Linked DNA regions of Caenorhabditis elegans. The protein of the gene in region 1 purifies or fractionates together with the protein of each later gene. This does not show direct contact. Each region holds a gene or a part of one and is shown in the gene's direction. Other genes may lie near its edges.

Region 1 (9,768 bases):
ATTTTAGTTAATTTTCCTTTTTCTCAAATTCTTTTTGAAATTAAATTTAAAAAATTCGAGTCATATTTAAAAAAAAACCATGCCTTCTCTATTTTGCACATTTTAGAAGTTACTGCCGCATTTTTTTTCCAGATTTTGGTACATTTTCAGTCGATAGGTGCACAAAAATTGGAAATTCGTGCGCCTATAGACTGTAATTGTACCAAAATATGCGAAAAAAATGATCTACAAAATTATTTTAAAAGCTGAAGCTACGTGATTGGAAAATTTGGCTCCAAAAAAATCGAAAATTGACTTAAATTCAGAAAATACACAAAAGAAAAACGAAAAAAATCGGTAAAGAATGAAAGATTCTTTTTTTTCAAGCGAATGTTTAAAAAATACTTGGTACTCCTGCTTGAATTCCCTCCGAAAGTGAGAGCTGGGACCAATCAGCGATTCGCTCCGGCTACTTCAACCCTCTGATTAGTGGAAAAGTGGGCGGCGCAAATCTCTGATTTGTTGAATATCTCACATTGACGAGAATTTAACCAAAATTGAAAAATCAAAAAGAATTTGGATTTTCCATAATTCCGGTTTTTTTTTGTTTCTCTATCGTGATTTTTCTGAATTTGGGTCTGAGGGTGTCGATTTTTCAATTTTTCACTGAAATCTAATGATTCAGATTTTTCAAAAAAATATCTTAACATTTTTTGGACGAATACATATGTTATCTTAGTGTTTTTCTTTTTATCAATTCAAACAAACTTCGTTAAAAATTGTATTTTAATGTTAATTAACTAAAAAAAATTAGATTTTCAATATTCCAGAAAAGTCGAAACATTCTCCGATGACACCATTTTTTGAGATGTTCTTGAAATTTTTAAAACCAAATTTCCAATCATTTTACTTCATCTTCAAATTAAAGAATCAAACTGATATTTTTGTAGGTTCTGTGATGCTTCATAAGTAGAACATATTTCTAATACAAAAGTAGTTTGTATATGTGTGTATATACGCGTATCCGCGCAGCCTGTGTTCATCAGTTTCTTTTTCTCCTACTCCTCCTACTCCTCCACCGAAATGCGTCATATTCTCTGGTTTTTTCTCTCTTTTTCCCTCCATCTCTCTATCTCTCTCTCTCTCTGTCTTTGGCCGATTGGTGCTGCTGGGCGCCCCTCGAAAGCGAGCCGCCCGTGAGAGTGTTATGAAACATTGACGAGACGCCGAGAGGCATGAGAGAAGGGGTAAACCCCCGGGCGAACTGTGTGAAGTTCTGTGCTTAATCACCCTCCTGTGGATCGTTCGATGATGAGATGATCTTGAACACGGGCGGTGTGTATGTCCACTCTTTTTCTCTCCTCTCTTCGTTTTTTTTGAATACTCTCAATTTGTTGTGTCTGCTCCTCAATTTCCTTATGCAGCTTCTTCTTTTTTGACAGCTTTATTTTGCACAACGGAAAGTTATCCTCTTGTTTTTTTTTGTTTATAGGTTTTCGCCCAATAAAAGCAAAACAAAAACCAGTTCTTCGGAAATACTTTCGATTTAAGTGGTGATGAAAAAAAGAACATTTTGTGATGTTAAATGATGACTAACAGATCAAAATTGTTGTTTTATGGCCCCAAAAAAGCTGAATTTCAGAACGAAACTTTTATGGAGGTTAAAAAATTCTTGAATATAGCTTGGTTTTTTTTAAATCTAAAACCTCCAATTTCGCCACCTTTTCCGTTTCGCAGAATTCAGAAAGTGATTTTAATTTGATTATTGTCCTATTTTCTGCATATTTGGATTGTTTTTCTCACGGGTTTTCGATAATTTAGTTGCATTTGAATCTAATTTGGACACAGAAAAAATGACGAAGTTGTGGGTTTTTAGCTAACAAAACATTTTTAAGCAAAAACCGTCATTTATTTTTTGAGCGATTTTTTAAAGTCTCGTTATGAAATTCAGTTTTTTGAGTTCATTGTATTTAGTCCTCACTAAAAAATTCAGAACGAAATGCACTAAAATCATATTTAAATAAATATTAAAAAATTAAATGAATTAAAAAATTTTTAAAAAAATTCGTCCGTCCAAATCAAATTTCTCTCATTTTTTCCCAAACTTTTCATTTTCATTCCTGAGACGTCTATCAAACAGAAGGTAATTATTTAAGTGATAGTGAAAGCTCCGTATGCAAAATTTCCATCTTTTTCCACATTTTTCGGTGTGATAAGACAGAATTGTGATTAGTGGTCTCTGTTCAAAATAATGCAAAAAATGACTAACAGATATTTTTTTCTTGCAAAATTTAAGATCTTAGCTAAACATAGCTTGAAATTTTCGAAATTTTGAACTGCCATTAACAAAATTCGTTCATTTGAGCACATTTTGGGTTTATAAATTCAAAATATCCGAAACCGTTAATCATCATCGTTAAAACATATTTACCCTCCAATTCAACGCCGTCAAAAAAAAATGTTGATGTCATTTTCCGCGTGACTTTCCTTTTTCTAAACACTATTTTTTGATCATTGATTTAAAAAAAAGAAAACAGTTTTATTATTTTCTTGTTTCTTCAGTAACCCGGGAAACTTGGCCCCCCAACCATGCATCGGGCGAGTCTTATATGTCGTCTTGCGTCCCCCAGTCGCATCAATGCCATCAGAAATGCTTCATCCGGAAAGAGCCACATTTCTGCTTCGACACTTGTTCAGGTAGTGACAAAAAATTCGAAAAAATTGGTTAAATTAATTTGAGAAGAGTATTTCAAAACAATTTTTCCCGGTTTGTGCTCCAAAAATAAGGTATCTAAAGTCTCGACAGGAAAGTTTTCTTTAATTAAATGCGAAAAGTCCGACTTGCGTTAAATGTGAAATATTCATCGATTTTTCAAAATATTTTTTCGGTGAAATATAAAAAATCGATTGAAATCCCTCATTTTTAAATTACAGTACTCTTTAAAGGCGCACACATTTTCGCATTTAACAGAAATTTGTCGTGGTGAGACCCTAGGTACCGTATTTTGAGTAAAAATTTCACGCCTGGATATCATATTAATTCCAAAATTTTCCAGCACCGCAATCAGTCAGTGGCCGCCGCCGTCAAGCATGAACCATTCCTAAATGGATCCTCATCCATCTACATTGAGCAAATGTACGAAGCTTGGCTTCAGGATCCATCATCAGTACACACTTCATGGGATGCGTACTTCCGCAATGTCGAGGCCGGAGCCGGACCAGGACAAGCTTTTCAGGCTCCACCAGCAACTGCCTACGCTGGAGCTCTTGGAGTTTCACCAGCAGCTGCTCAAGTCACGACCTCGTTCGTTTTTTTTGTTCTGATTGTGATGATGATAAACATCTAAACGAGAATTGAAGTCAACAACCTTGGAATTTTTCTTTGAAAAAACTGTTTTTCAAAGGGAAAATTTCAGAATATTCACTACAGTAATCTCAAAGGCTCCCGTGAACAGTTTTTATCAAAACAACTTTTTTTTGAAATTTTGAATCATCATGAAAGTTTTTTGGAGATTTTTAATAAAGTCTCATTAGAAAATTGGTAGTTTTAAGCAAAAAAATTTGCCCAGTGCGCCTTTAAGATTACTGTAGCGAGAAAAAATTGCAAATTCGATACATTCAATAAATGCCGAAACTAGTGTGAAAAGCTTCGTTTTTTGCGTTCTTTAAAAATTTTATTAGAAAAAATATAAAATTCACCGTAAATTTTCTAATTTTAATCTCGAAAACTGTTCCAGATCTGCCCCGGCCACTCGCCTCGATACGAATGCATCTGTTCAATCGATCTCGGATCACTTGAAAATCCAGCTCCTCATCCGCAGTTATCAGACTCGTGGTCACAATATCGCAGATCTCGATCCACTCGGAATAAACAGTGCCGATTTGGATGACACGATTCCACCGGAGCTTGAACTCTCGTTCTACGGACTTGGAGAACGTGATTTGGACCGAGAATTCCTTCTTCCGCCCACCACTTTTATCAGCGAAAAGAAGAGCTTGACGTTGAGAGAAATTCTTCAGAGACTTAAGGTGCGATCAAGGAATTGTGCAAAATGAGCCTATATTTTTCATTAAAATTTAGTGGATTTATCTGAAAATAACGTTTATTTCTGTTGGAAGAGGCCCCACGAAAAGGGGAGCAGAACGAAAAGGGGATCTGCAAAAAGGGGATCTGCGAAAAGGGGAGATACGAAAAGGGGAGATACGAAAAGGGGAGCAACGAAAAGGGGAGCTGGCACTGTGCCAAACGCACAAAACGCAATTTTTCTCACGCAACGCACGTTGATTTTTGAAATTTTCTTCTAGAAGATACGCTTAACAACACGCGACGCGTAACATCGGAGCATCGTTGTATCGTTTTCTTCGAGAAAAATAGCGTTTGGCACAGTGCCAGATCCCCTTTTCGTATCTCCCCTTTTCGTATCTCCCCTTTTCGCAGATCCCCTTTTTGCAGATCCCCTTTTCGTTCTGCTCCCCTTTTCGTGGGGCCTCTGTTGGAAAAATGGAAAAAGTTCTCAAAAATCGCCATTTCAGGCGATTTTGGACCGTTTTTCCAATCGAATTAAAAGTTATTTTCATACAAAGTCACTGAATTTTGAAAAAAGTATTGAAAAACATACCAAACTGGCTCAAAAATCAAAAATATAAAATCTAAAATTTCCAGGATATCTATTGCACCAGCACCGGAGTCGAATATATGCATTTGAACAATCTCGAGCAACAAGATTGGATCCGCCGACGATTCGAAGCTCCACGTGTCACCGAGCTCTCTCACGATCAGAAGAAGGTGCTGTTCAAACGTCTGATCCGGTCTACAAAGTTCGAAGAGTTCCTCGCCAAAAAATGGCCAAGTGAGAAGAGATTCGGTCTTGAGGGGTGCGAAGTTCTAATTCCGGCAATGAAGCAAGTCATCGACTCATCTTCGACACTTGGAGTCGACTCATTCGTCATTGGAATGCCACATCGTGGAAGGCTCAATGTGCTTGCCAACGTTTGCCGTCAGCCACTGGCCACGATTCTGTCGCAATTCTCGACTCTCGAGCCTGCTGATGAAGGATCCGGAGATGTTAAGTACCATTTGGGAGTCTGCATCGAACGATTGAACAGACAATCACAGAAGAACGTTAAAATCGCCGTCGTCGCTAATCCATCTCACTTGGAAGCTGTCGATCCAGTTGTGATGGGAAAGGTCCGAGCTGAAGCTTTCTATGCTGGAGATGAGAAGTGCGATCGGACGATGGCTATCCTTCTTCACGGAGATGCTGCGTTCGCCGGTCAAGGTGTTGTGCTCGAGACGTTCAATTTGGATGATCTGCCGAGTTACACGACTCACGGAGCCATCCACATCGTTGTGAACAATCAAATCGGATTCACTACCGATCCAAGATCTTCTCGCTCGTCTCCATATTGTACAGATGTTGGTCGTGTCGTCGGATGCCCGATCTTCCACGTGAACGTCGACGATCCGGAGGCTGTAATGCACGTGTGCAATGTCGCCGCCGATTGGAGGAAGACTTTCAAGAAGGACGTTATCGTGGATCTTGTTTGTTACCGGCGTCACGGACACAATGAGCTCGACGAGCCGATGTTCACTCAACCACTCATGTACCAACGAATCAAGCAAACGAAGACAGCACTGGAAAAGTATCAGGAGAAGATTCTCAACGAAGGAGTTGCAAATGAGCAATATGTTAAGGAAGAACTCACAAAGTACGGGTCGATTCTCGAGGATGCTTATGAGAATGCGCAGAAGGTGACATATGTTCGTAACAGAGATTGGCTCGATTCTCCATGGGATGATTTCTTCAAGAAGCGTGATCCACTCAAGCTACCATCAACCGGAATCGAACAGGAGAACATTGAACAGATTATTGGAAAATTCTCGCAGTATCCAGAAGGTTTTAATCTTCATCGTGGTTTGGAGAGAACACTGAAGGGGCGGCAGCAAATGCTCAAGGATAACTCGGTAAGATTTGAGCAAAAAATGTGCTAAATTAGGCTTAAAATCAAGAAAATCAATCAATCAAAATCTAATAAAATCCATATTTTGCGCATTTTTTTTCCAATTTTCATTAGAATTTTGAAGAGAAAACCCGAAAATTTTCAAAATTTAAAAAAAAAATTAATAATTTCAGCTTGATTGGGCTTGCGGAGAGGCTCTCGCGTTCGGATCACTTTTGAAAGAAGGAATTCACGTACGATTGAGTGGACAAGATGTTCAGAGAGGAACATTCTCACATCGACATCATGTTCTTCACGATCAAAAAGTTGATCAGAAGGTACTGGAAAAATAACTTTGTCGGTTTGTGGATTCTAAATGGCCAATCTATTATATTTTTTTTAGGTTTTCAGATCATAACACATGGATTTTCGCTGTAAAAAAAACTAGAAATAAGCAATTAATTTGACATTTTGAATGTTAAATCAGGGATGGGCGGCAATTCTACAAAATAGTCGATTGCACCATGTTGTTCCAACTTTTTTCATTGAAAACTAGCGTGAAAATATGGAAAATCACTTGATTTGTCTGGAAATAACAAATATCCATATTTTGTCACTAATTTAGAATTTAAAAAATTTTTGGAACAACATGGCGCAATCGACTACATTCCAAAATTACCTATTAATCGATTACTTCTAGTGTTTCATGTGAAAATCCATGTATTTTTTTTTATTGAAAAAAACGATAAATTGGCCATTTAGAATTTAAAAATAGTTTGAAATGAATAATTTTTTGCCCAAAAATTCTTAAGAATTTTGAAGTCAATTCCAAAAACATTTATTTTTCCAGATCTACAACCCACTGAATGATCTATCTGAAGGACAAGGAGAATACACAGTCTGCAATTCATCCCTCTCAGAGTACGCTGTTCTTGGATTCGAACTCGGTTATTCGATGGTCGATCCGAACTCTCTTGTCATTTGGGAAGCTCAATTCGGAGATTTCTCCAACACAGCTCAATGCATCATTGATCAATTCATCTCGTCAGGACAGTCGAAATGGATTCGTCAATCTGGATTGGTGATGCTTCTGCCTCATGGATACGAAGGAATGGGACCAGAACACTCGTCGGCTCGACCGGAAAGATTCTTGCAAATGTGCAATGAAGACGATGAGATTGATCTTGAGGTAGCCTGCCGATTGATGGATCGGAAAAAAGGAAAAAACTGCATTTTTTGAAACGAAATTCAAATATTTTGTTGAAAAAAAATTATGCTTCATAGTTTTTCTCCTATTTTTGGCGAAAAATTAAGACATTTTCAATTTTGACACGATTTTGTCTAAAAAAAAGGAAACGGAATTAAATTTCAGGAGCACGAAAAAAAAACTAGAAACACTTTTTTTTTGTAATTTTGAAAGAAGCAAACTATTTTTTGTGAACCTGCATAGCTATTTTCAAAATTAAAAATAAAAATATTTTTCGTTTTTTTTTTTCGTACTCCTGAAGTTCAATTTCATTTCATTTTTTTGAACGAAATTGTGCCAAAATTGAAAATTTTTTAATTTTTTATACTTTCAATTCCCCGAAGTAGGAGAAAAATGATAAATCTAACTCGAAAGGTTTTTTGATTTTTAAAAAATTTAAATTGAAAATTGAAAAGTTTCTTTGTTCTATGTCTATTTTTCGATATTTCGCAAAAAAAAAGTTTAAATTTTGGCAATTTTTATTCTTTTTAGAAGAAAAAAAATTGAATTTTATGGTTAATGCATTTTTCTCGATATTGGATACTTATATATACTTAATTTTAAAAAAACTATGAAAATATTCGAATTTTTCAGAAAATCGCGTTCGAAGGAACATTTGAAGCTCAACAACTGCACGATACCAATTGGATCGTTGCCAACTGCACAACACCAGCCAACATCTATCATCTTCTCCGCCGTCAAGTAACAATGCCATTCCGTAAACCGGCAGTCGTCTTCTCACCAAAATCTCTTCTCCGTCACCCGATGGCTCGTTCTCCAGTCGAAGACTTCCAATCTGGATCCAATTTCCAAAGAGTTATTCCAGAAACTGGTGCTCCATCTCAGAATCCACCAGACGTGAAGCGAGTTGTCTTCTGTACTGGAAAAGTGTACTACGATATGGTCGCCGCCCGTAAGCACGTTGGAAAGGAGAATGATGTTGCACTAGTCAGAGTTGAGCAGCTCTCACCGTTCCCATATGATTTGGTGCAACAAGAGTGCAGAAAGTATCAAGGAGCCGAGATTTTGTGGGCTCAAGAGGTATGAAATTTTAGAAAATTGAAAACTTTTGCAAATTGTGCTGATTTAAATTTAGAAAAATAGAAAATTTGCTTTGTAACTTAGTTTTCTGAAATTTCGACTCGCCAATATTTGTGTCTCGCCACGAAAAGTTAAATTTTTTTTTCCTATTTTCGGTTCTGGGAGTCTCTAGAAGACGATTTTTCGATTTTTCTCCGACGTTAAAATTTGCAAATTTTATAGATTTTCACAGAAAATTTACGGATTTATAGCTTTGATCCCAAAAATATATTGTTCCCGGTCCCGACACGACCGATTTTTTTAATTGCAATAAAGTGTGTGCGCCTTTATGGAGTACTGTAGTTCCAAACTCGTTTGTTTCTCGGAATTTGCTTTGATGATGTCTCCGTTTCCTCGAAATCGGCTGAAATGAGACGAAAAGAATATCCCAATGCGTGAATTTGTCGTAATTTTTGCATTAAAAAAATACGATACATGGTCTCGACACGACAATTTTTTGTTAAAAGCTAAAAAAGATGTGCGCTTATGAACGGGTGCTGTAGTTTATAACCGAAACAGTTGAAAAACTAAGAAATCGATGAAAATTCCGCAGAAGAAACGTTTGAAACTACGGTACTCTTTAAAGGCGCATATCATACATATCACATTGATAAATCGGCCGTGTCGAGACCTGGAATATTATTTTTGGTGCGAAAATCTTAACATTTCGCATCTGTGTAATATTTTTGCTGTAATTTTTAAAATTGTAAAAAATTGAAAAATCTAAAATATAGACCCTATCGAAATACAATATTTCCAACATGAAAATTTTCCAGGAGCACAAGAACATGGGAGCCTGGTCATTCGTGCAACCACGCATCAACTCACTTCTCTCGATTGACGGTCGCGCCACGAAATACGCTGGACGTCTTCCATCCTCATCACCAGCTACTGGAAACAAATTCACTCACATGCAAGAACAAAAGGAGATGATGAGCAAAGTGTTTGGAGTTCCAAAATCGAAATTGGAAGGATTCAAGGCCTAAATCTCTACGAATTGACAGATTTTTTTTGATATTTTTTGCTCTTTTTTCCTGTGTCCCCAGTTCTGTTTTACTCCTTTTTTACTTTTCTGCTCGTCCTTGTACTCTTTTCTCTCGAATTCTCACAGGCTTTATTGATGTTTTTTCATTGATTAGTATATAGGGTAGTGTGAAGTTTTAGGTTTAATCTCATCCGCCGCCCGAGTCCCCGTCCTCTTTGTGCCTCCCCGTTTTTTTCTTCTGTCATTATCATTTTCCCACACGCAATTTTAATATGCATGCTCTCTCTTCCTCATTTTCCAGTGAAGAGAGCTAAATTTTTTGATATGAACGTATTTTCCTCAACACATTTTTATTCATCATACATATTTATTCGTGCTCAATAGTAGTCCACTTGCGTAGAATAATTTTAAAGTAACTTTTTTTTGACATAAGTTTACTTTTTTGTGACATAAGTTTTATTTAGAAACCAAAGAATAAGTTCAAATACTGTCCTTTTCAACAATAATCAACTTGTGTAGAATAGGTTCCCACTAGATG
Region 2 (9,375 bases), on another chromosome or scaffold:
ATTGTTGTCGGCCGTTTTTAAAAGTGAAAAAATATTTATTTACAATATTGCAGAGAATTCGAATTGCAGCAAATTGTCAATTATCCCTGAGATCCTCAATAACAAAAAATAAATAATAATTTTAACAAAAATAGTGAAATTCTTAGTTAATTAAGCCCACTTGACGAGGAAGTTTCTTTTTGCTTTTTTTTTTCGATCGTCAATCAGGTCCTCATCATCTCCTAACTTTGATTTTTTAATCTCAGTTGGTTCAACATCAACATCATCAGAAGTGACTGCCTCAGAAGTTCCAGATTTTGTGTCATCAGATTTTGATAGTTTTTCCAAATCTTCCAGCTCCAAATCTTCCAATGGATCCTTCTTGTTGATCTTTGCTTCTCCACTCTTTCCATTCTCCTCATCGCTGTCTTCATATGAATCCTCGTCTTCATCATCGTTATAACCCCCGCATCCGGTGCCACTTCCACCTCCACATCCTCCACTGTTTCCATAACCAGCATAGCTACCGTAACCCTGTGGATATCCGCCACCACACCCACCTCCTCCACAGCCGGAACCGATTCCTGGATGAGTACGGTAGATACTGTAGTGGTCGGTGTATGGCAGATGTGGATAACGGTAGGTTGCGAATGTGTACTGTGGTGGATATACATATGTCATTCCTGGACGAAGAAGATATCTTCTTGGAAGCCTATCCCATGGGTAATGCTGGAAGAAATACCCTCTTCTATAGGCGACAACTGGCCTCTTTGTGGTAGTTTGAACGGGATTCTGATTGCGTCCAATCGGATTTGGGTTCAAAAGTGGTGCACGAGTTGGAATATCGAATTTCGGTGCGATTGTTGAGTAGGTTACTTGTTTCAAATTATGGTTGGCACCAGCATTCTTGACCGGTTGAGATGAAAAATCAGAATAATCGTCACCAACATTATCCTGTCTTGCCTAAAAATTATCCATATTCGTAGGTACGAATTGTCCAAAGTAACTCACCTTTCTTTCAGCCAACGTGACCCCACAAATCGCCGCTAGAAAAATAATAGATCTCCTCATCTAGAAGTGTGTAAGATTGTTAAAATCGGTCAATCTCCATCGTCGTTAAATACTCCCAAAATCGGGTTGACTAGAAGTGTAACAAAACCTTCAAATAGCTGGACATCATCTGCCTCAAACAGATCTGGTTCTTGGCATATCGGGTAAAATTATATAAGTTTGTTGCGTAGTGATATACAACAAGGTGAGAAAGTGATGAAGACGACGGACGTCCATGGTTGCGCAATAAGTGAAATTAGAACTGGAAATTTTCGGAGATAAGGAATGTTTTTTTTTGTATATTGCGAATTAGGATATATCATGTTTTGCCTGGGTTAATCAGTAGTATCACTATGAAAATATATGATCTATTGTGTACCTTCTATTAAGAAGATGTTTAAATTTTTTGGTATTAAAATTTTGGTTAAAAAACAATTAAAAATTGGGAGAATTTCAGAAGATTTATGGAAACATATTTAGTTAAATATGGCTATTTTACTAAAATCTAGATTTCGGAACATTCTGCTTTGAGAAATTTAGATGAATTAATACAAATCGAGTCAAGTTCGTCCAGCGAAGAACCTATCTCAAGTCACTATTAAAGTCTGTCAGCCGGTATTTATAGCAAGGAGAAAGTGATGTTGAGTGTAATCCCACTTGTTGTAATCTGACCAATGTGTGTGTCCAACTTGATAAATTGGCCTTCATTGGATATGGAAAAGGAATAATTTTATGAACTAAGTATATTTTGCAAAATTCCATTCAAAAGTAGAAACCGTACTTGATTCGTTAAGAGCAAAACGGAGCATTTACGAATTTAATTCCAAGTAATATGGTGCAGTGTGACCTATTCCTGAAATCAGTCGAATATGAAATATTGCAAAAATTCCTTTTCAATATGTTTCATGTTGTAGCAGTTGTAGAATTTTTATATACCAAAAAATTTAAAGATAATTAAATTTATTATAAACTATTTTAATGTACCTTTAGCCTGTTATAGATTACTAATAATTGTAGAAAAAATCCAATTTCTGTTGTTGCTCCGAAAAAATCACTAATTGTATTTCTATAAATTGGTAAATTATTGTTCGAGAACTCGAAAAGTACATTTTTCTTCATTTTTTATAATATTGTATTATTTTATCGCCTTCTCCGAGTGATTGAAACCCCTATGAAAAGTTGGGAAAGTTGACGTGGCCGCGGTCGATGCCATTGCAAAACTAGGCCATGATAATGCAGGATTTTTAGAACGGTAGAAAATGGGCCTATTTTAAGTTGTTCCCTTTAAAATTTGAACTTTTTTATCGACAATTAAATCTCAATATCGATTTTTTTCCACAAACTTGTTTGCTTTCTAATCACTTATTGATTTTTTTCAAATAGAAACCAAGTAAATTTCATCATTTTGTGTTTTCTGATGTAATCTATTGCTTAAAAGAATTTTTTAAAGGTTTTAATTATTTTTAAATATCAGGGTAACAAATATCGACAATGTCGAAAATCAATAAGGAGCGGAAGAAGGTTGCTCAACTTCAAGAAATTGAAAAGAGCATTCAGGAGCTGTGGGAGAGCAAGAAGGCTTTCGAGGCGGATGCTAGGGATGAGTGAGTTTTTTCTGAAAATTTTGAATTATTTTCAATTTAAAAAATTTCAGTGGAAAACCAAAGTACCTCGTCACGTTTCCCTTCCCATACATGAATGGACGTCTTCATTTGGGACACACATTCTCAGCTTCAAAATGTGAATTTGCCGCCGGTTTCCAACGTCTTCAAGGCAAAGAAGTGCTCTTTCCATTCGGATTTCATTGTACTGGAATGCCAATTAAAGCATGTGCAGATAAATTGAAAAGAGAAATGCAAGATTTCGGATATCCACCAAATTTCCCGGAAGATGTTGTCGAGGAAGTTAAAGAAGAAGTTTCGGCTGTCGATGAGATTATCAAGGATAAGAGTAAAGGAAAGAAGAGTAAATTGGTGGCAAAAACTGGAAATGCAAAATACCAATGGCAAATTATGAAGTCTCTGGGATTGTGTGATGAGGAAATTAAGGAATTCTCGGATCCAAATCATTGGCTATATTATTTCCCACCACATTGCATTGCTGATCTTAAGAAAATGGGACTAAAGGTAAGATTTAAAGTGTTGAAATCATCTTAAAGTGTTGAAAGTGAGTTCTGTAAAAATAGTACTAAATTATTATGTTTTTCCAATATTTTTGATTAAAATTTAGTGATAGAATTTGGAAAAAAAACATTTGATTTATCTGAAAATAGTTTTTATTTTAGTGATTAAAAGTTGAAAATAACCTGTAAAAAAATTTCGATAATTGGTCGGTTTTTACCGGCGATTTTTTTGGCACTTTTCCAATTTTTCAACCTTAATCAAAGCTATTTTCAGATAAATGAAATATTTTTCTATATTATATCCCTGAATTGTATTTAATGAATATTGGAACAAAATGCCTTACTTCCTCATTTTTGCTTCTCCATTTTAATAATAATATAATTCTCAAAAAAATTTAACTTATCACAAAATTAAAAAAGAAACATTTCGAAATTATTAAATTAAAAATTGCCATTTTTCAGGCTGATTGGCGTCGTTCCTTCATCACCACCGACGTGAATCCATACTTCGACTCATTCGTCCGTTGGCAGTTCAACCTTCTTCGTGCAGCTAAGAAGATCGATTTCGGAAAGAGATATACAATTTATTCACCGAAAGACGGTCAACCATGCATGGATCACGATCGTGCCAGTGGAGAAGGTGTTGGTCCACAAGAATATACTCTTATTAAACTGAAAGTTCTTGATCCAAAACCTCAAGCTTTGAGCCATATCAAAGAGGATATTTATCTCGTTGCGGCTACTTTGAGACCTGAAACAATGTACGGACAAACGAATTGTTATCTCCATCCAGATATTCAATATTCCGTGTTTTATGCGACGGAAAACGAGAAACAAGTATTTGTGGCAACTGCCAGATCTGCTAGAATCATGTCATATCAAGGATTGACTAAGGAAAATGGTAAAGTCAACTATGTCCTGGGACTCGAGAAAATCGCTGGAAGCAAGATTCTCGGAGCTCCACTCTCTGCGCCTCTCGCAAAATACGAAAGAGTTTATGCATTGCCAATGTTGACTATCAAGGATGATAAGGGAACTGGTGTTGTTACAAGTGTACCATCAGACTCTCCAGATGATTTTGCAGCTTTGTCGGATCTCAAGAAGAAGAAGCCATTGAGAGAAAAATATGGATTGACTGATGAGATGGTTCTTCCATTCGAACCAGTTCCAATTATTAAAATCGAAGGACTTGGGGATTTGGCTGCAGTTGAAATGTGCTCAAGGCTGAAAATTGAGTCTCAAAATGAGAAGGACAAACTGGAAGAGGCGAAGAAAGAAGTTTATTTGAAAGGATTCTACGATGGAGTTATGCTCGTCGGAAAGTATGCTGGAAAGAAGACAGCCGACGTCAAGAAAGTTATTCAAGATGATTTGACAGCTGAAGGTCTTGCCACGAAATATGTGGAGCCTGAGAAGAAGGTGATGAGCAGATCTGGAGATGAGTGCGTCGTTGCGTTGTGTGATCAATGGTATTTGAATTATGGAGAGGCTGAATGGAAGGCTGCTGCAAAGAAGGTTCTTGAGCCACTCAGAACTTTCAATGATGAGGTATATTTTTTTAAATTATTTTTGAAAAAATATTATGTAGACGTCTAAAAATAAGAATCTTCGCCATCTCTTACGCGCAGAGGTCTTGCCACGCAGACAACGAGTTACTGTAACTTGCCGATCAAAGGGTTTTTTATTGCAGCATATTCTCTAAATAAAACCACAATTTTATCTAAAAATCGAAAAAATTTGTTCAAAGAATATCATAGTTTACAAATTACTCCAACTCTACGGACGATTTTTTTAAAACCCTTTTTGTTGAAATTGGAGTTTAATTTAAAGAATATGACGCAATAACGGCCCATTAGACAACAGAAGTTACAGTAATTCGTTGCCTGCGTCCTCTGCGCGTAAGATATGTCGAAAATTCTCATTTTTAGATGTCTATGTAGTATATTCTTATTCCGCTGAATTAAAATTTTCAGACCCGCCGTGGATTGGAAACCACAGTCGATTGGCTCCACGAGTATGCTTGCTCCAGAAGTTACGGTCTTGGAACCAAACTTCCATGGGATACTCAATACCTCATCGAATCTCTGTCAGACTCTACAATCTACAATGCTTATTATACAGTTGCTCATCTTCTCCAACAGGGAGCTTTTGATGGATCAGTCGTCGGACCTGCTGGAATTAAAGCTGATCAGATGACAGATGCTTCGTGGAGTTATGTATTCCTCGGAGAAATTTACGATTCGAAAACCATGCCGGTTGAGGAGGAAAAGCTTAAATCATTGAGGAAAGAATTCATGTATTGGTATCCAATTGATATGAGAGCATCTGGAAAAGATCTTATCGGAAATCATTTGACATATCTTCTGTTCAATCATGCTGCAATCTGGCCAACAGACACTTCAAAATGGCCAAAAGGAATTCGGGCCAATGGACATTTGCTCTTGAACAATGAGAAAATGTCGAAATCCACTGGAAACTTTATGACATTGGAAGAAGCCATCGAAAAGTTCAGCGCAGATGGTATGAGATTGAGTCTTGCCGATGCTGGGGATGGTTTGGAAGATGCTAACTTTGTGTACGCAATGGCAGATGCAGCTATTCTGAGACTATTCACTATGATCGAATGGATCAAGGAAATGATTGAACAACGGGATGCCGGACTTCTCCGAAAAGATGCAAAGAAATTCGCTGATCGAGTTTTTGCAAATGAAATGAATTCACTGATCGCTGCCACAGAACAAAATTATGAAGCTACCAACTTCAAGGATGCACTGAAAACTGGATTCTTCGAATATCAAGCCATTAGAGATACATACAGAGAACTTTGCGCTGGAATTGATGAGCCAATGAGCGAATCGCTTGTCTTTAGATTCATTGAAACTCAGGTATATTTTCAGAAAGATTTTTTTCTCAAGATGACAGATACCGATTATTAGTGTAAAAATTGAAAGAATTGTTTCAAATTCTGCAACAAAAATTCTAGAAAAACGAGAAAAAAAACAAATCAGTATTGCCGTATATTAAAAAAGTTTAGGAAATTTCTATAAATTTCTTAAAATCTATTTTCGTTCGATTAAGACTGATTTCTGTCATTTGGGGCAAAAAAAAAACGCCAGACGACACCTTTAAAAGTTTAATTTGTTTTTTATTTTAGATGCTCATCCTATCACCAATCTGCCCACATATTGCTGAATACATCTGGCAATTGCTCGGAAAAGACGGCTTGATTGTAAATGCTCCATGGCCAACTGTCGATCCTGTCGATGAGAAGCTCGCCATTGGTGCTCGTTTCATCACGGAATCGCTGGCCGAATTCCGTGCCCGACTGAAAACCTACATGACTCCAAAGAAGAAGGCACTGAAGGAGATTCCAGAAGTTCCAACTGAAGCAGTGATCTATGTTGCTAAAGAATATCCACCATGGCAGAAGACTATTCTTGATATTCTTGAGAAACAAGCCAAGGCTAATAATGGAGCACTTCCAGATAATAAAGCAATCAGTCAGCTCATTGGAAAAGAAGAATCACTCAAGAAATTCGCCAAAAAAGCGATGCCATTCGTTCAAATGATCAAGGAAAGATTCGAACAGAAGGGTGTTTCAGCATTGGCTTCTTCTAGTCCAGTTGATCAAACTTCAATTCTCAACGAGAATATTGATTTTATTATGAACGCTTTGGATTTGGATCGTGTTACTATTCGACATACTGATGAGGAGGGAATTGATGCGAATATTGTTGAGACTACAGTACCGCTGGTGCCAATGTTGAATTTCACGCCGAATAGAGTAAGGAAACATATTATAGGGGCATGGGAACATGCTCCGCCTTCTAACCATGGGTCTCGTTAGGTATTTGGCGGCAAAACCGTAAATTCAAACATTTTAAATTCGTCTCTGCAGTTTTCAAGCACGCCAAATACCTTACGAGACCCAACTGTAGGAGGCGGGGCGTTGTCAATCGGCAGTGGAGCGCATTTCCATATCAATTTCAAGAGGGGAATTTTTCTGCGTACCAATAATAATGACATCATAATTATTTTCAGCCAACAATCAAACTTGTCGCCAGAAATGTTCAAATCTGCAATGCAATGTTCGATGTTGATGTACCAATTGTTAATGGAGACAGTGTTTCAATGGTTATTCGGAAGATGAGACGCATCAGCAAGGCAATCAAACGTATGAGAAAACCCTATTCCGAAAACAATAAATTCAATTTATTATATTTTCAGCGAAATTCGAAGTGAGCCTCTGGAGATACAAGAACGCGGTTTGGGGAGATCGACAGATGATTTCGTACAGAAATCCATTCGAGGAGAACATTCAATTGTCCGACGCAGACATTTTCAATTTCGAGGCTGATAACAAGATTTCTGTGACTTCTGGAAGTGAAAAGTTCGATCTTGGGCGTACTATTGTGTACAAGGCTAACGTCCCAGAAAACTAGATTCTTTCTAAAAAATTATTTGTTCTTCTTGTTTCTAATAATATTATATCCCCACTTTTTGAGTTTTGTTGTTTCTATTCATTTTCATAATTTATACGTACCCGAATCCCTATTTCAGCTTTCACTGTTTTCTCCCTGTTTCCAAGTTGAATGAAAAGGTTTTTTTGTTATTATACTAGATTTTTGAAAACTGTGATTTGTTATCTAAGTATTTCAAACCTAATATTTTAAATGTGATTTTCTATTTTTTATCGGAAGTTTCCGTATTTCCAGTAACAGATGCCGTCACCATGTGAAAGCGGTAAAACGACAAATTGCTCCGGAGCACCTTCCTCGTCTTGTGGTGAATATTTTGATTATTACTCATTCGGGAAAATATGGGATTTTTATCGCAAAATTATGGTATCGGGTCTCGACACGATCGAATTACTTCCAAATGAAAAGTGGGTAACACATTGTTTTCTCGAGATTTTAAAGTCTACTAATTATTATTCATGTGACATCAAAATCTGGAAGGAGTGAGGCTACAGTACCTCATTTGAAAATATTTCGATCGTGTACAAACAAAAACAAAAATAAATTACTATACTTTTGCGTTAAAAAACTAAATTTTTCGAAGAAAATATCTGGAATAAAATATAACGAACAAAAATCTTTTCAGCGAAATCAGTAGAATGCTGCAAGAAGCAACTATCCGTTGGAGTACTACAACAAGTATCAGCGAGTTCATCTGGTGCAATTGTTACATCACTTTTTAGTAAGCTTCATATCAGTTGCAGATTTTTTCAATTTTGGACAGAAAAGTACGGTACCGGGTCTCGAAAGGATTGGAACTTTGCAGCTACCGTACCCAGAAGTATTTCCCAATTATAATTTTTTCACAATTTGAAAAGCATTGAAAAAACACAACAAAAAAATTATTGGGGATACGGTATCTGCGAAATATCGGTCGTTTCGAGACACGCAACCGTATATACGCCTGAAAAATCGAAAACAGAAAAGTTTATCTTTGCAGTGACTCCCTTAGACGTCGTGAAAATTCGACTCCAACAACAAACTCGACCATTTCCAAAAGGAGAATGTTTTTACTATCACAATGGTCTTATGGAGCACGTTTGTGTATCGTGTGAAGTCAGAAAACCTTGTGAATGGTATCAACGACCCGGTAATTTTCGTGGAACTGCAGATGCAATTGTGAAAATTGCACGACATGAAGGAATACGGTCATTATGGAGTGGATTGTCCCCTACTATGGTTATGGCTCTACCGGCGACTGTTTTCTATTTTACAACTTATGATAATCTATCAGTTTGGTTGAAGAAAAAGTTAGAATTTTTTTGTTGTTGAAATTCCAAAAATAATAAAAATGGTTTTCAGAATGTGTTGCCGACGGGCATTTTCTCCGGAAAAATGGACGCCTCCTGATTGGTCAGCTGCAGCAGTGGCTGGAATTGTAGCAAGAACCATTGCGGTTACGGTAGTCAGTCCCATTGAGATGATTCGTACGAAAATGCAAAGCAAGAGGCTTACTTATCATGGTGGGTTGGACTAGGAGTAAGTATCAGGGCTGGGGGAACAAAAATTGAAATTTTCGAAAAATCAAAAAAAAAAAACAATTTTTCGAAGAACAAAAACACCAACAAAAAAAACTAAAATCAATTGAAATTTTCTAAAAATCTTTTGAAAAAATTGAAATTTTCGAAAAATCAAAAAAAAAAAACAATTTTTCGAAGAACAAAAAAACCAAGAAAAAAAAACTAAAATCAATTGAAATTTTCTAAA

The links.
Region 2: the proteins of ogdh-1 (region 1) and lars-1 fractionate together in Caenorhabditis elegans (co-fractionation; one large-scale study listed by BioGRID). This does not show direct contact.

The regions. Positions count from the first base shown.
Region 1 is NC_003282.8:4,696,785-4,706,552, reverse strand, and holds ogdh-1 (2-oxoglutarate dehydrogenase, mitochondrial), read left to right. Parts: upstream 1-2,559; 5' UTR 2,560-2,568; coding exon 2,569-2,676; intron 2,677-3,035; coding exon 3,036-3,283; intron 3,284-3,716; coding exon 3,717-4,008; intron 4,009-4,642; coding exon 4,643-5,944; intron 5,945-6,113; coding exon 6,114-6,257; intron 6,258-6,769; coding exon 6,770-7,108; intron 7,109-7,759; coding exon 7,760-8,206; intron 8,207-9,021; coding exon 9,022-9,231; 3' UTR 9,232-9,574; downstream 9,575-9,768. Other genes in the region: spe-51 (AMOP domain-containing protein), read right to left, coding at 9,727-9,768. UniProt on the Caenorhabditis elegans protein: The 2-oxoglutarate dehydrogenase complex catalyzes the overall conversion of 2-oxoglutarate to succinyl-CoA and CO(2).
Region 2 is NC_003281.10:4,179,930-4,189,304, reverse strand, and holds lars-1 (Leucine--tRNA ligase), read left to right. Parts: upstream 1-2,503; 5' UTR 2,504-2,520; coding exon 2,521-2,633; intron 2,634-2,683; coding exon 2,684-3,155; intron 3,156-3,613; coding exon 3,614-4,699; intron 4,700-5,124; coding exon 5,125-6,036; intron 6,037-6,305; coding exon 6,306-6,935; intron 6,936-7,192; coding exon 7,193-7,325; intron 7,326-7,378; coding exon 7,379-7,593; 3' UTR 7,594-7,756; downstream 7,757-9,375. Other genes in the region: R74.2 (FIP (Fungus-Induced Protein) Related), read right to left, coding at 151-942, 991-1,050; putative mitochondrial carrier C16C10.1, read left to right, coding at 7,873-7,936, 8,255-8,350, 8,609-8,918, 8,971-9,131.